Anolis sagrei: one gene and its partner. The protein of the gene in region 2 binds, or shares a complex with, the protein of the main gene of each other region. Links are inferred from orthologs where the notes say so. Each region holds a gene or a part of one and is shown on either strand. Other genes may lie near its edges.

The links. The genes of interacting proteins can lie anywhere in the genome.
Region 1: the proteins of OBSL1 (region 2) and MYOM1 are in contact, whole or in part, in a crystal structure (PDB 5FM5), measured with the Homo sapiens proteins. The link is inferred for Anolis sagrei from reciprocal best matches to the Homo sapiens genes OBSL1 and MYOM1. Residues at the interface, in NP_056126.1 of Homo sapiens: Pro243, Lys253, Phe255, Val257, Asn258, Gly260, Lys261, His262, Ala263, Lys264, Phe265, Arg266, Cys267, Tyr268, Val269, Met270, Gly271, Lys272, Pro273, Pro275, Trp279, Lys305, Tyr308, Tyr317, Cys319, Ala321, Arg322, Asn323, Ser324, Ala325; in NP_003794.3 of Homo sapiens: Arg616, Pro617, Ser618, Ala619, Pro620, Trp621, Thr622, Gly623, Gln624, Ile625, Ile626, Val627, Thr628, Glu629, Glu630, Glu631, Pro632.

What each region holds. Positions count from the first base shown.
Region 1 is NC_090024.1:62,172,396-62,180,218, reverse strand, and holds the start of MYOM1 (myomesin-1), read left to right. Parts: upstream 1-4,744; 5' UTR 4,745-4,845; intron 4,846-6,420; 5' UTR 6,421-6,549; intron 6,550-7,823. UniProt on the Homo sapiens protein: Major component of the vertebrate myofibrillar M band. Binds myosin, titin, and light meromyosin. This binding is dose dependent.
Region 2 is NC_090021.1:231,437,963-231,445,998, reverse strand, and holds the start of OBSL1 (obscurin-like protein 1), read left to right. Parts: upstream 1-4,945; 5' UTR 4,946-5,340; intron 5,341-8,036. UniProt on the Homo sapiens protein: Core component of the 3M complex, a complex required to regulate microtubule dynamics and genome integrity. It is unclear how the 3M complex regulates microtubules, it could act by controlling the level of a microtubule stabilizer.

The sequences.
Region 1 (7,823 bases), on a different chromosome or scaffold from region 2:
TAAGGCCCAGGGGCCGAATGCGGCCCTCCAAGGTCATTTACCCAGCCCTCACTTAGGGTCAACCTAAGTCTGTAACGACTTGAAAGCACACAACAACAACAACAATCCTATCTCATCAGCCAAAATCTGGCCCACACTTCCCATTGAAATACTAATAAATTTATATTTTTTAAATTGTTCTTCATTTTAATTATTGTAGTATTTTTAAGAGTTTTTACACTACAAATAAGATATGTGCAGTGTGCATAGGAAGTCATTCATGTTTTGTTTTTTTTATAATCCGGCCCTCCAACACTTTGAGGGACTGTGGCCTGGCCCTCTGTTTAAAAAGTTTGAGGACCCCTGAAATAGAGGGTGGATCTATATTGTAAAATTAATGCAGTCTGACATCACTTCAAATCCCATGGGTCAATGATATGGAATCCTGGGAGCTGATGAAGCACCAGTATTACTGGGCAGAGAAGGCCTTCTAAAACTACTACTTCCCTGATTACGTAGCATTGAGTGATTGCAATTAAAGTGATATCAAACTGCATTTATTGTAGAGTGTTGATGCATCCAGATTCACTATATTGTTATATCAACCCTGCCCTTGAATACTTTAGGAGAAGATCATGATACAAATAATACACACAAATAATTTGATATTATTTATGACTATGTTAATTGCTTGAAATATTTTATTACGATAAATGTAATTATTTTTGTACAAAGGAACACTTGACTCAAAACATGGTTTTTCTCTATGACAATACAAAGTTTCTATGTTCATCTACAGTTTCACTGGTATTTTTCTTTGAAAGCTTGGGGCAGCTAGAAAAGGGTTGTTGTGTGTTTTCCGGGCTGTATGGTCATATTCCAGAAGCATTCTCTCCTGACTTTTCACCTGCATCCATGGCAGGCATCCTCAGTGGTTGTGAGATCTGTTGGAAACTAGGCAAGTGGAGTTTATATATCCGTGGAATGTCCAGGGTGGGAGAAAGAACTCTTGTCTGTTTGAGGCAGGTATGAATGTAGCAGTTGGCCATCTTGATAAGCATTTAATAGGCTAACAATTTTCAAGGCCTGGCTTCTTACTGCCTGGGGGAATCCTTTGTTGGGAAGTGATTAGTTGGCCATGATTGTTTCTTGTCTGGAATTCCCCTGTTTCTGAGTGTTGTTCTTTATTTACTGTTATATAGACTCTTTTTTACTACTAGTAACCAGATTGTGTTCATTTTTATGGTTTCTTCCTTTCTGTTGAAATTGTGCACATGCTTGTGGATTTCAATGGCTTCTCTGTGTAGCCTGACATGGTGGTAGTTAGAGTGGTCCAGCATTTCTATGTTCTCAAATAATACGCTGTGTCCAGGTTGGTTCATCAAGTGCTCTACTATGGTTGACTTCTATAGTTGAAGTAGTAGTAGAAAAGGACTAAATAAACCAAAAATTTCAAGTCACATCTATATCATCCTTAGACTAAAAGTGAGGTTTTCCAAGTTGTCAAGAATATCAGTGTGGTACATCCATAAAACCACTGAAATAAAATGGATCAAGTAAATCCCTCCCCAGAGAAAGGACTTACTTCTTTTGAAGATTAAATGTCTCCTCAACAATCCAACAGCTTTTTCTTAAAGCACAAATGCTGAACTAAAATGTTTTCCCAGGAAAAAGAAATTGAGTGCTAAAACTTCATGGCTTTCCAAAGATCTGTCTTCTTATTAAAACCTGCCCTACCAAAGGCAAGCGAGAAATTTGAATGTAATATACTTTTAAGAGTGAAGAACAGAACAACTTTTGAAAGGCTTTTGTCAGGAAGATTTATTTTAAAGGTATGTATTTTATTTTCATCCAAAACAATATATGTAAACAATTATATGTTTTTTCTGGAGAAAAGATAATTGTCATTTTGCTTTATCCATGCTTGCTCAGTGCTATTGATTTCACCTGAAAATCCTTGAAACACACTTAGGATTGTACTGCAAGGAATATACTGTGATATGTCTAATTTCTGAAACTAGTGGCAATACTTCCAAGCTAGGTATTCCTGTCTAGAGAGTTTCTCATCAGAGACAGGTTTGATTGAAAACCACAAATGACAGTGCCCAAGATGCAGGTATTTGGCTAATGGTGCCCTATTTGAAGTAGCAATTCCCCTAGGTGTCTGGAAATGTTGGAATGAATTCCATGAAGCGATGCATATATTCATCACCGGCCACTTGAGGAGGAGTCATACCATGTTGGTCAGGATAGTCCAGGAAACATTACCATAGTTCATTACAGGCATGTAGCCGGGGGGGGGGGGGCTCGGGGGGCTTCAGCCCCCCCCCCCCGAAATTCTCATGGTGGTTCGCGAAAAGGCCTTACTGGTGCATTATTTAAACTGTTATGTTTATTCATATCATGATCTGATCACCATACTCAATATATCCCATATGCATGGGGGTATTGGGGTAATGATACAAAAGGTTTGCTAGGCTAGACCCTCTTTCACTCAGACTCAGCCCCCCCCAAAACTCAGCCCCCCCACGAAACCCCCCCTGAAAATTTTTTAGCCCCCCCCCCCCCCAAACAAAATCCTGGCTACGGGCCTGGTTCATTACAGATATGCAAATCAAATGAAATTAAATCAGTTTTTTTCATGTCGGGAGCCACTTGAGAAACTGCGAGTTGCTTTTGGAGTGAAAGAATTAGCCGTCTGCAAGGATGTTGCCCTGGGGACACCTGGATGTTTTGATGTTTTACCATCCTTGTGAGAGGCTTCTCTCATGTCCCCGCATGTGGATCTAGAGCTGAAGAAGGAGCTCATATGCACACTCCCTGGATTCGAGCCTGCGACATGTTGGTCTTCAGTCCTGCCGGCACAAGGGTTTAACCCACTGTGCCACCAGGCAATCAGTGACATTGCATTTGTGAAGGCTCAGATCACAGGCTTTGTGCTGCAAATGGAGAACCGAAATGTTATTTCTTTCTTTTACAATGCAGTCTACATGGGCATGCCTTTGAAGACGGCCTGGAAATTGCAACTGGTACAAAGGTCGGAGGCCAGGCTGCTAAGTGGAGCAAGTTATAAGATGCGGACAACCCCCCTGTTAAACAGCACCACTGGCTGTCAGTAAGTTTCTGATCCCAATTCAAGGTGCAGGTCATTACCTATAAAGCCCTAAACAGTTTGGGTCCAGCCTACCTTCGCCATTGCATCTTTCCCTACGAGCCTACGCAAGCTCTAAGATCTTCTGGGGAGGCCCTTCTTTCGCTCCCACCTCCATCACAAGCACGGTTAATGGGGACAAGGAAGAGGGCCTCAGTGGTGGCGTCCCAGCTCTGGAACTCTCTCCCCGGGAGAGTAGATTAGCGCTCACACTGTCCACTTTCCATAAATACCTTAAAACATGGTTGTTCCAATGTACCTTTTATTAATTGTTTCACTAAATGAATTGGTCCTTCTATTCATAACTTAATTTTGGCTCTTGCACTTTACTACTGTCCCTAATCAGACTTGGCCCTTCCAGTCTTAATTTATCTTCTGCCTCTTGCACTTTGCCATCAGCCCTGTCCCTGCAGTTATATTGCACAAGCCTCTGCCTTGCCCTTTAGTTTGAAAATGTCCACTATGCTTGGCTATTGGTGGTCGTGTGATGATTTATGTTTTTAATTATATTTTTTCATGATGTTTGTATATGTATTTTATTGTGTTATGTTTCAACTCTGTTGACTGGGCTTGCTCCCTATGTAAGCCGCTTCGAGTCCCTTCGGGAAGATGGTGGCGGGATACAAAAATAAAGTTGTTATTATTATTTTACTGACACAAAAACACAGCATGTCACAGCAAACAAGATATATATGCTGGGTTTCATATCACAAAATCACAAGTCGAACATCATCATCATCATCATCATCATTCTGGTTACGTTCCAGTCTTTTTTTAGCTAGGTGAGGCTTTTTTTTTTTTTTGCAAAGAACTCTTCCTGTAAAAACACAAATAAAAAAAATGCAGACTTGTGATTCCAGCAACAGGTTTTTTTCTACTGAATGATATTTGCTGTTTTTATCTGGTGAAGAGGTCAGTGGGCTTCAAACAACGTAGTGATTTTGTGTCCTTTGTAATAATTATACCACCAATATGTACTTTAGATTCCGGAATTTGTTTTATGGCCAAAATAGTCACTCCATCTTTTGGGTTTTTGTCATCTGCTCTCCAAGATTTTTTTTTGTCTAAATTACAATATTCACTCTTACAATTACTACAATTGTTTTTAATAATGCAATAAAAAGGGAACACGGATGACACAAAAGAGATACATATCACAAACAGCAAGAAGTCAGGTTTTGATCCCTTCCAGACATGAAATTTACTGTCTCCTTTGACTTCTTTGTCATGGCACCTTCTCAGTTAGAAAGAGTTGGCGGGGAGTGGTACATGCAAGATGATAAGAGAGTTTCTCTTCTTCTTACCTTGTCAGGCACTTTGCCAGGTAGAAATTAGAGTTCACCCCAGAGGTTTCTGGAGCGTCTTGTTTCCTAATCCTGCCAGGTTTAAAAGTAGTATATGCCTCTTGAAACCACTTTTTAGCCCAGTCAGCACTGGTTCCCCTTTTTTGCCCTAAGAGTGCTGCTGACGTTGCCCATGTGAGAGAGATGCCTGCTGCTGCTTTCAGCCAACAAGCAACTCTTCTTTTTAGGAAATGAGAGATCATCCTAGGAGCCTCCAGGACGAGCTCTCATTTCCCAGTGGGAGGAATGCCATTAAGTAATAACTTTCATGCCACTCTCCTAGCTGCTACCACCTCTCTCTCGGTACTAGATTGAGTGCAAGAGTGATCTTTCCGGCCACCTCTCCTAGGCAAGGACAAAAGACCCTGCTAGGTAAGAAGTGGTGCCAGGCTTTGCACCCCAAAGCTGGAAATGGGGTGGAGGGATCATGGCAAAGAACATCCAGAAGTAAGAACCGGACAGGCCAGTTGGCTATCCCTACTTTAGAAAAGGCTGGGGAACATGTAGCCTGCAGATTTTTGAACTATAAATCTACAAATCCAATCCCACGTTGCCTGAAATTGTTAAAGTTGTAGGGCAAACATTGGACAGGGCCAAAGTTTTAGATTCTGTAGCCTTTAATTGTTACATAAAGGCATAATTCGGTCTTCTACTGCTTTTATTCTCATTGGAACATTATTTGGGGGCAGCAATAGAAATTAACTTTCCAACTCTTGAAACAAAACAAAAAAAAAACCCCAAACCAGATAATTATATCTAAATGGATAACTGAGATAAGGGGACAAACTTTTAGATGTGGAGCCAAGAGGAATGAGTCTGTCTCTTAGCTAGATATTTAGGAAAGGAACCCAGGTCATGAGGTTTATTTATGTTGATATGCAGTTTAAAGAAATCAATAGTGGACAGAAAGTTAATTGACCACTCCCTTTTTTTTCTGGAAAGTGGCACAGAAAGAAGACATGTCTAATCAAAAATGTAAGAGAATGAATCCATTTAAAATCGGGTTTCTGCCTCCTGCAGAATTCTGGGGTTTGTAGTTTAGTTGTGGTTGTTAAAGATTCCTCTCTAAACTACAAACCCCAGAATTCTGCAGGAAGCAGCAACTGGATTTTAAATGGATTCATTTTCTAGTGTGATGAGGTGGGGTCCAAGAAACAGTAAAGTGGGGGAGTTTAATTTGATATTGAGATGTGAATTTACCAGAAAGCTCCACAGATAACGTCCTCCCTTTGCATTCCTCATAACTTACTGAGCTCCTTTAATTTAGTCATGTCTTTAATTTGGATTAATGCTTTCAATGATCTGCTGACTCGTTACCACTTTGAAAAAAATCTTAGTTATTATAAACTTCTAAACGAGAAGATTATCTTAACTAGATTTTTTTAAAGTGGCAGCTGATCAAGAGATTACGGAAAACATTTTTGCTCATTTAAATCCACAGCATAGATTTAATTGTGGAAATCAGCCAATTCATTAGAGTCTGCTATTGTTAAGCTGAAATTAATTCCTATCTGCAGAGGATGTATCAATACTTCTTGTGTTAATAGCGTCCTGTGATTGAAATGAACACAAGAGCACTCAGGAATCCCTGTTAATGCCAAGCTACTGTACTTTGGCTCCTGTCAATGCAATGACAGCTTCTTTCTAAATTGGGTTTATGTTGTAGCACATTTCCCTTCATCACTTAAATGAATTGAATTTCTATGGCACAACCATGTGTTAACATCTTTTCTGAGCTAACAGAAAACTTTAGGACTCAGTTTAGTTGGGACTTGGAAGGACAAAAGTTGTAGCTTGAAGCTGCCTGTCATCGTATATTTGAACAGAGAGTCAGACCTCTCTCCCTCTATCTCTTTGCTGCTGCTATATTTAACAGCCTTCCCAGCCATAAAAGGTCGGGAGTGTTGCTCTCACATTCCTCTGACAGCAGGCAATATTTTTGTTCAGGACCTGGCAGCCCCATCCTCAACTGATCCTCTCAGCAGCCTTGCTGGATTGAACTTTTACTGGATTTCTCTTCCCCAATCATTCATCTTTGCGCAAGACTGAACTTCATTATTCCTGGTTGGGTTGCTGGTAAGTGTGCTTTGTTAAGAAATCTTAGATGTCAAACAGATTTGCTCTATTTTAGACATTTAGGCCACCCTTTCCTTTTTTTCCTCCTTCTCTATCTTTTCTTACATTTCCTCCTCATTCTTGGTGGATTTGGAAATCTGTAATAACAGACTGGAAGAATTTTAAGACTGAAATCTCAGTGTTTGGCCAATTCAACTACAAGTGTTTTTCAAATAGACAATGAGTTAATGGCTGGACTATAATTTTGTGCTGTGTACAATATCCTCTATGATACCTTCCTTTGTGCATGCACTGTTTACTTTAAAAATATTCACAGATGAGACTGGGTTTCCTTCCACACTGCTGAATAAAATCCCTCATTGTTTGCTTTGAACTGGAATATATGGCAGTGTGGACTCAGATAGCCCAGTTCAAAGCAGATATTGTGGGATGTTCTACCTTGATTTTCTGGGTTATATGACTGTGTGGAAGGGCCCTAGATTAATTAAAAATATTCCCATCTCAAGGTTTTAAAAACTGAATATCACTTTTGGGATGTAGAGTGAGACGGTGTTGTTGCTTCTCTAAATTGTCTTGATTTCTATAGGCGGTTTTGGGTAAACAGCTATCTCTCCTGATACTTTCAACATGTCAGCGAGAGCTTTTGTGATACTGTTCTTCTGTCCATTTGCATTCCTTTATCCTATTGGTTCTCAACCTGTGGGTCCCCAGATGTTTTGGCCTTCAAGTCCCAGAAATCCTGGGAAACTGGCTGGGATTTCTGGGAGTTGTAGGCCAAAACATCTGGGGACCCACAGATTGAGAATCACTGCTTTAACCTTATTTGAATATCTGAAGAATTAAATGGACTCACAAATGTTTGAGGAGTTATCTCATTAATAAGATGTATATTTGTGCTTGAGAGCATTGTGTAGCGGTTAGAGCATGAGATCAGAGTTTAAGAAGAAGGCAAAGGCAACCTCCCCTTCTGGACAAATCATACCAGGAAAACCTCATGATAGGGTTGCTGTGTTTTTTCTGGGCTGTATGGACATGTTTCAGAAGCATTCTCTCCTGACGTTTCACCCACATCTATGGCAGGCATCCTCAGAGGTTGTGAGGATGCCTCTGAAGATGCCTGCTATAGATGCAGGCAAAACGTCAGGACAGAAGGCTTCTGGAACATGGCCATACAGCCCAGAAAACTCAGGGCAACCAAGTGATTCTAGCCATGAAAGCCTTCGACAACACTTTAAACCTCATGATAGTTTCCCCCTAAGTTGGAAATGATTTGA
Region 2 (8,036 bases):
TGCTGCCCAGGGGACAGGGCCTAGGGCAGGGTGCTCAAGGGGAGAGAGGGAGGCAAGCAGTGGTTGGGTGGCAGTGCTAGGCAGTGCTGGCAGAAGGGGCAACGTTTTCCTTCCCCCCTTCCACCCACCATATCTGCCTGGAGATCAGTGTAATCAGGTTACTTAGAACTGAAGCCTGATCAATCTCATCAACCCCAAGCAATGACTGTCAGTCTAGATCCAGATCATAAGGGAAATGGAAGAACCTTCTGCCCAGATTTCTTGCATACTATAAAATTGTCACTGTACAAAGGAATGGTCAGTCAGTGCATTTTGTTAATTAAATGTAATAGAAGTGCTAAAATGTGCTAAAGAAAATCTGATCTATACCTCAAAGTTACTCCTTCCACTGTTCAATCAAATCAGAGCTCTTTAGATCTCAAGAAAGTGTGGATTATTACTCTCAGACTCCCTCAACCTATCTGTTCAAGGTCATTCAAACGTGTTTAGACATAGTTACACCTGCTTAGGCAAATCCTTTATCCCAGTCTCTTCAGCATTAGGAATTGTTGTAGGATTAACTTTTTTTGTAGAAATAAGTGGGGAAAACTCTTCTTGCGCTCTTAGAGGGGATACTGGTGATTAATAGTGTTCTGATGTCTAAAGCACACATGCCCGCAGAGCAGCTTCCTATATTAAACTTTTTCTGCACATGAATCTCTACTATTTCAAGGGAAAAATACAATAGCTGGTTTAGTTTTGTGTCTATCATGATCAAACGCATAACATGAGTTCATGTGATGTATTTGTACTTAGTTTTTTAGACAGCATACTTCAACTACCCAGAGAGTTTCAAAAACTATTTCAGCAACTGTGACAATAACTACTCTGAGATTAACACCATCTTTCTGCAAATAATATAGCTTTAGGTAAGTTAAATGTTCTTATGGCTACCTACTGAGTTCAAACAGCTAAGATGAGCTTTGAAATGGCAACTTCTTAGCACAGACCTTTAACAAATGGGGTGTATACTAAATAGTCGCAGCAACTGTATTTTTCTCAGCAGGAAATATAAATTCCAAGTTAGTCTTTTGACTGTAACTTTGGGCCCTTCTACACTGCCATATAAAATCCAGATTATCACATTTGATCTGGATTATATGGCAGTGTAGACTCATACAATCAAGTTTAAAGCAGATAATCTGGATTATATGGCAGTGTAGAAGGATTCCCTAGGCTGTGCTGAGGTATTGAGCATTATAGTCCAAAAAAAAAAGTAAGGCTTCCAAGTTGTGCCTGAAACATCTGTCTGTGATTGTTAATCAATTATGTGCACATTTCACATTTTCTCTACTGTTGTAATTGGTGAAGTGGATCCAAACACAAACAAAGGGGTCACAGTTTACCAAATGCTTGGCAAATTGTAGTGCTGCTTGCCTTTCAACCACAGACGTTGGGAGGGCTGCCCAAGAATTAAAGGGGGAGATGCCTAAGAGGGTAATTTTTCAGGCTTGTATCTAAGAATTCAGAACATAGCGCTGCTTGGCACCTGTCAGATGAGGTTAGATTTCAGTGTACTCTAAAACTGATCCAAGCAAGATCAACTGCATAGTTCCAAAAGGTACACAAGTTTGTGTAGGCTGGATTTATTAGGGTATGGGTTAGGCTTAACCTAGTCTCCTACCACTTTTTCCAAATTGAGTGCACATCTTCTTCTATAAGGGAGAAAGATGCTAAGGATTGTAAGGAAACCATTTCTACCATGCAGGGGAACATAGCTAATTGCCCTAACATTGATCCCACCTAAGATCCATCTTGTTTTCTACCGCTCCAAAGGCTAGGACACAGACCAATTGATTCAACTTACAGGAAAAGAGATTCCACCTAAACACCAAGAACTTCCTGATGGTAAGAGCTGTCTAGCAATCTTGCCTGGGAATACAGTGGAGTCTCCTTCTCTGGAGGATTTAAAATACAGACTGAATGACCATCTGCTAAGAGTACTTTCATTGTGTATTCCTGCATGGTAGAGGACTGGACTGAATGGCCCTCTTCCAACTCTGTTTCTATGATCAACAACGATATGTAAACTACCTAAGAGTCATTATAGATTTGTATCACACAACCTTTCCACTCTGTTTAGAAATTCAAAACAAAATCTTGCTGCTGATGTTCACCAAAACATCTACAGATGGAGTTTATCTTTTCAGCAGTATCAAGGGTACAATGATATGAGGTGAATAGAATATAAAGAATAACAAAACCGTAGATTAGAAGGAGATCTACCATCCTGCCTATGTGGCCATTCATCTCTGTTTAAAAACTTCCCCAAGGAAAAGACCATCATTGTTTGTAGCACTTCCTTGCAAGTTCAGATTGTCTCATAAGTCCTTGATTGAAAAAAATAATAATAACAAAAACGAATGTTGGAGAAAATAGGTCATTTTAACAGTGTGCTTAATAGCTGTTTTTCCCTCCTAATGGATTCAAATTACAGGAAAGCAGATTTCACCTGAACATTAGGAAGAACTTTCTAACTGTAAGAGCGGTTCAGCAGTAGAACTCTCTGCCTCAGAGTCTGGTGGAAGCTCCTTCCTTGGAGGTTTGTAAACAGAGGCTGGATGACTTTCTGTCAGGGGTACTTTGTGCTTTTCCTGTATGGCAGGGGGTTGGACTGGATAATCCATGTGGTCTCTTCCAACTCCATGATTCTATGATTCCGATGTATGGGAATAATTTCCCATTCTTTCAAACAAGCAGGCATGTAGCCGGGGGGGGGGGGGGGTGGGGGGGGGCTCGGGGGGCTCGGGGGGCTTCAGCCCCCCCCCCCCGAAATTCTCATGGTGGTTCGTGAAAAGGCCTTACTGGTGCATTATTTAAACTGTTATGTTTATTCATATCATGATCTGATCACCATACTCAATATATCCCATATGCAGGGGGTATTGGGGTAACGATACAAAAGGTTTACTAGGCTAGACCCTCTTTCACTCAGACTCAGCCCCCCCCCAAAACTCAGCCCCCCCGAACCCCCCCCCCGAAAAAAATTCAGCCCCCCCCCCCCCCCCCCGGAAACGAAATCCTGGCTACGGGCCTGCAAACAAGTAACCTCTCCTCTGTTGCCTAAAATAATACATTTGTGAGGAATACAAGGGGGATTAATTCTTCTGAGTGTATGAGCTGGCCTGCTACTTACTCCTTGTGGTTAGATCATTCTTACTTCCATCTGAGATGCTGTCTCAGATTCCATTCATTGCCTCTCAGCTAATGTTAACAGAAGGATTGACGGCAGTAAATGTGTCATAGGAAAGAACTGAAAACAATCTCGGAAGGTATGTCAGAGGAATGGAGAAAGTTGCAAATAGTCCTGGAAAAATCTTTTAATGGCACCAATATATTTTTGGTGATAATTTTTGCAACATGGAAAACAAATGGAGCTTGTAAGTCATCCCCCCCCCCCCCCCCCCCGTCTCAGAGAGAAAATGACTTGTAAATGTTCAGTACTTGCTGGTGTGGTGGCAGTGAGAGAACATGAAGTTTTCTTGTGACCTTTCCCTCTTCGAGTTGGCTGACAGAGTCATCTCCTTTAAAACGTCATGTTTTCTGTTTCTAACATTAGGACTGCTGCCTAGTTTCTGTTTGCTAAGTACAGTAGACTCTCAGTTAACCCAAACTCAAGCAACCATAACTTTCAAGCAACCGACAAAAAAACCCAGAAGAAATAATAGCGCAGTTATAAAGCTGTTTTATAATAGAGTAAAACTGTGTTACATTTGTCTTTTTTTGCTTTTAATTAATGTATTTCAATATCAAGCCAACACAGAGTGTATGATATAGTATACTATGGGGTATAATATTGGTTAGTTCTACCAGAAACCAGAAACAAAATTTATTTGGCATGGGTGCTGATTAATGGAGAGTCTACTTTATGTAACAATAGGCTCGCTATAATCTGAAAACCCTGTTCCAATAAAGCTCCTTTCTTTGGGGCCCTGTACTAGGTGCTGGGAACCTCTACTAGATTGATGGGTTTTGTGAGCCTCAATTTTTATCTTTGGAGGGGCTACCTGCCAGCAGCCCTTCTAAAGGTAAAAATGGAGGCTCACATATCCCAGGGTGGAGAATCCAAGATAGATAGTCAGGCAATGTAAGTCAATGACCTCAGTTTATTGAACCTGAGTTGTATGTGTTTTATTTTATTGTATTTTATATTGTGCTTCATTTTTATGTTTGTTTTTAGACACTTTGTGCCGTTCTGCAAGCTGCCCTAAGTCCCTTCAGGGAGATGGTGGTGGGATATAAGAATAAAGTACTACTAGTAGTAATAGTTGTTGTTGTTGCCATTAAAATATTTTTTTCAAGATTATATACAGATCTGAACAGTGGGTGCTAGTGGTGGGGCCCAACAACTGCCCTAGGAAGCCAGTTGTGTTGGTGATGCCAAGCCTGCCCAACGATATAAACCAACCGATCTCCTGGGATTTGGGTTTGGTGGGACACTAGAACTCTTTGGTATTGAAGACTAAAGACCTTGTAAACTATAACTCCCATGATTCCATAGCATTGAGCCATGGTAGCTAAAGGGGTGTCAAATCGCTTTAATTCTACAGTATAGATGCACCCTATGGAAACTGTTGGTTTAAATCATTGTAGAGGTGTGAAGTCACCAGTTGGCATCCTAGGGTAGTTGTTGAGCCCCACCTCTAGCACCCACTCTTTGGACTTCTGAATAATGCTGAAAAAAATATAAGTGTGACATGGTCCAAAATTTGAGGCAACCTGGGTTGTTTTTTTTTTGAAGGGATATTCCTAGCGGTTCTAAAGCCACGTTGACCCCTTTCTTCCTTGAGTTGGGCTGTGCCTGCCTGGGCTCCAGGGGTGAGGGATGCCTTTGTGCTCCTCCCTGCTGGGCTCTATACTTAGCCAAGCCCCAGCCTCCCCGCTTATCAGCCCAGCCATGTCATCAGAGGGTATTTTTGGGGACAGCAGCTGCAGGCATTTGTAACTCTCTTAGTTTCTTGCTCTCAGACGCTTGGTGAGCAGGGCAAAGGCAGGCCAGGGACCCACAGCATGTGAGGGGCAGGAAGCATATCTGTGTGGGCATCTGTCAGGAAGAAGGGATGCCCAGTCTGGGACATGGTACAGGAAGGGCTAGAGCTATAGAGAAGAGCAACTGGCATGTGCACAGATGGATGGATGGATGGGCAGATGGAAATTGCCTGGTGAGAAGAGGAAGAGTGGAAGCAGGAACTGACTGACCAAGAAGTTCAAAGGTTGATGCAGAAGGTGGTTACTGAACGCTAAGAGGAAGGCAGGCCAGCCTGATCTCCCTCACCACCTGCTTCCCACGCCCCTCACTGGGTAAGTTTTGCTGGGGAAATAAAAGGAGGAGAGGGAGACAGACAAATGTGATACTCGCGGAAGTCGTCCCCCCCTCCCCCCCCCCCCCCCCGCTAGTGGCAATGGCTCTAGCATTAACAACCCATCTAGTCACCAAGTGATAAATCAAGGGGAATACTTGGGCATTGGTTTTGGATGCCGAAGGAGAGAGCAGAACTAAGAGAATGACTGGGTTGAAACTCAGATTGAAAAGGGTGACAATACAGGGTTTGTGTATTCTGTAGAATCAAGGCTTCTTCTCAATGCTGTGGAATCATGGGATTTGCAGTTTGGTGAGGCACCAGCACTCATTGGCAGAGAAGGCTGAAGAGCTTGTAAAACTATGACTGGTCATTAAGGTGGCATTAAACTGCAATAATTCTACAGTGTGGATGCACCCACAGTTGGTCTTCCATATTTTCAGAATCTGTATTCACAAATTCAAACATCCATTAAAAAACTCAAAAGCAAACCTTGATTTGCCATTTTATATAAGGGACATCAATGTATACCATTGTATACAATAGGACATCCATGGATTTTGGTGTTCCTGTGGGGTCCTGGAACCAAACCACACTGGTCTCACTGTATTCTTCCAGACCAGAGCTTTGATTTTCTGGGAACAACCCCTGTGTTTGTGAAGTTTGCGCCATTGAATCAAGTCACTGCATGGGTCTCTTGGCCACCACCACCCATTCTGTCCCTTATGTGTAAATGTTTTCCCGCAGAAAATAGGAGCTTGGAAAACAAAAGAAACGGCTGCCTGTGTGTGGCCTATTAAAAATGTTCTCCCTTTCTAGTCTGCATTGGGGTCTGCGTGGTAGTGACAGCTTCTTATCTGTGGAGCATTAAACAGAGTGTGATAGGGCAGGAATGCACGATAGGACAGGCATGTGGAGGGATCCATAAGAAACTCGGGTCCTCTGAGAACTGGTGTGGCATTCAGGCAGGAAATACAAGCTGGTATCCAATTCAAATCTCACTATTGCTATGCACTCGCTAAATGGCCCTTAGGAAATCATTTTCTCTCTCAGCTTCAGCTCTCTCTGCACACCCCTCCACCATATAATAATGACTACAGTGACCTACTTTGCAGTTGATATATTGGGAGTGCTTTGAACACTTGAAATGTGCTGGATAAAGTAATAATCAGCATCACTGTTGGTTTGTTTGCATCTTTGTGTGCCGGTGCCTGTTCAGCCGTCAAGCCATAATACAGCCATCCTAGCTCAGAGAAGGACAGGAGAGATATGCTATTATTTGTGGCTTAGGAAAATAACATTAAACTTTGTCCCTAAACATTGATGGCTACCTTAAAACTTAGGGAATCTAGTTCTGTTTCTGCAGTTCTCCTTTCCACTTTGGTATGACATACATATATAAAGAGTCATGGGATGTACAGGATCTGGAAGAATATAAGGTGGATGAAGGCTTACGCCAAGAGGGGGACAAAGTGTAATGCCCCAAGATAATTTTATAGTCTTGATCCCCCCAACTTCCCCCAACTACTACTTTTCTAGCCAACCGCAAACAAAAATAAAACTCGGAATTGTTTTTCTTTGAAGTTTCCAGATCCCAGGAGTAGCAATTCTTTTTAAAACCAATCACAGTACTCACCTGTACTGCTTAGCCTAAAAATAACATTTCAAAAAACAGTAGTGAAAAGGTAGACTTTCAGCCACTTTTGTCTGTCTATTTGTCTATCTGTCTATTGCATTTTTGATTTTTTGCAGCTGCTAGAGTGTCCCCTTGCAAAGTTTGGGGCCTCAAACTTGCCATTTGTCTGTCAGTGGCTTATACTGTAAACACATTGTTCAGTCGTAAATTGCTTATGTAATAATGCCATACAATTCAATACAACTACTGTTATGGAAAGAATAAATAAAGATGTTAAGTAAATAATGGCTCCTGGTGGGTGGGATTACATGGATATGTGCATGCACACACCCACATTATTGCTATATCTCAAGATCATAGGACAAAGAATTGAACACCAAAGTCATATTTCTGCTCATGATCTTGTCCCAATGACACCACAGAGCAGCTGATGTGATGCAGGCAGGGCAAGTGTCTCATGGGCTCTGCATACCTGCAGAGCATTTGTTGGTATCATTCATTTCACCACAAAACTGGTGAAGCTGGTCTAGTTCCCTGTCATATATCGGATTGTCAATTTTTGAACCTCCCCATGCCATCAAAGTGTAGCACAATGCACAAAAGAACAAGCATGAATGCAACAAGTTTGGGGATATCTGGAGGGGTCATCATGTGGACAGATTTGTCACAGACAGCCTGCTCTCCCAGTGTGGGGGTGGATGGCTAAGCAATGTGTGTTGAATGCTCACAACCCAATTTGCCACGTGATGAAGCATATGTACAGACAGGAAAAATTATGGCTTTGGAATATAACTCCTGTAATCTCTCAGCCAGCTTTATCATTGGAAATGTTGGCTGGGGGATTCTGGAAGTTGCCATCTAGATTAAAAACTGTTCAGAGTTCTGGATGACATTATGAAGTGGTCACCTTTCAACCCAGTCTTTCTCAGACATACTTTAAAGTTGCTGCAAAGGAGATGAACAGCTGTGTGATCATTGCAAATCAATTCACCAACCATTTTCCTGCATTGCTAAACTGAGCAGCAATTAACACTTTGGGTTTATTCTTCAGTGAATAGCTC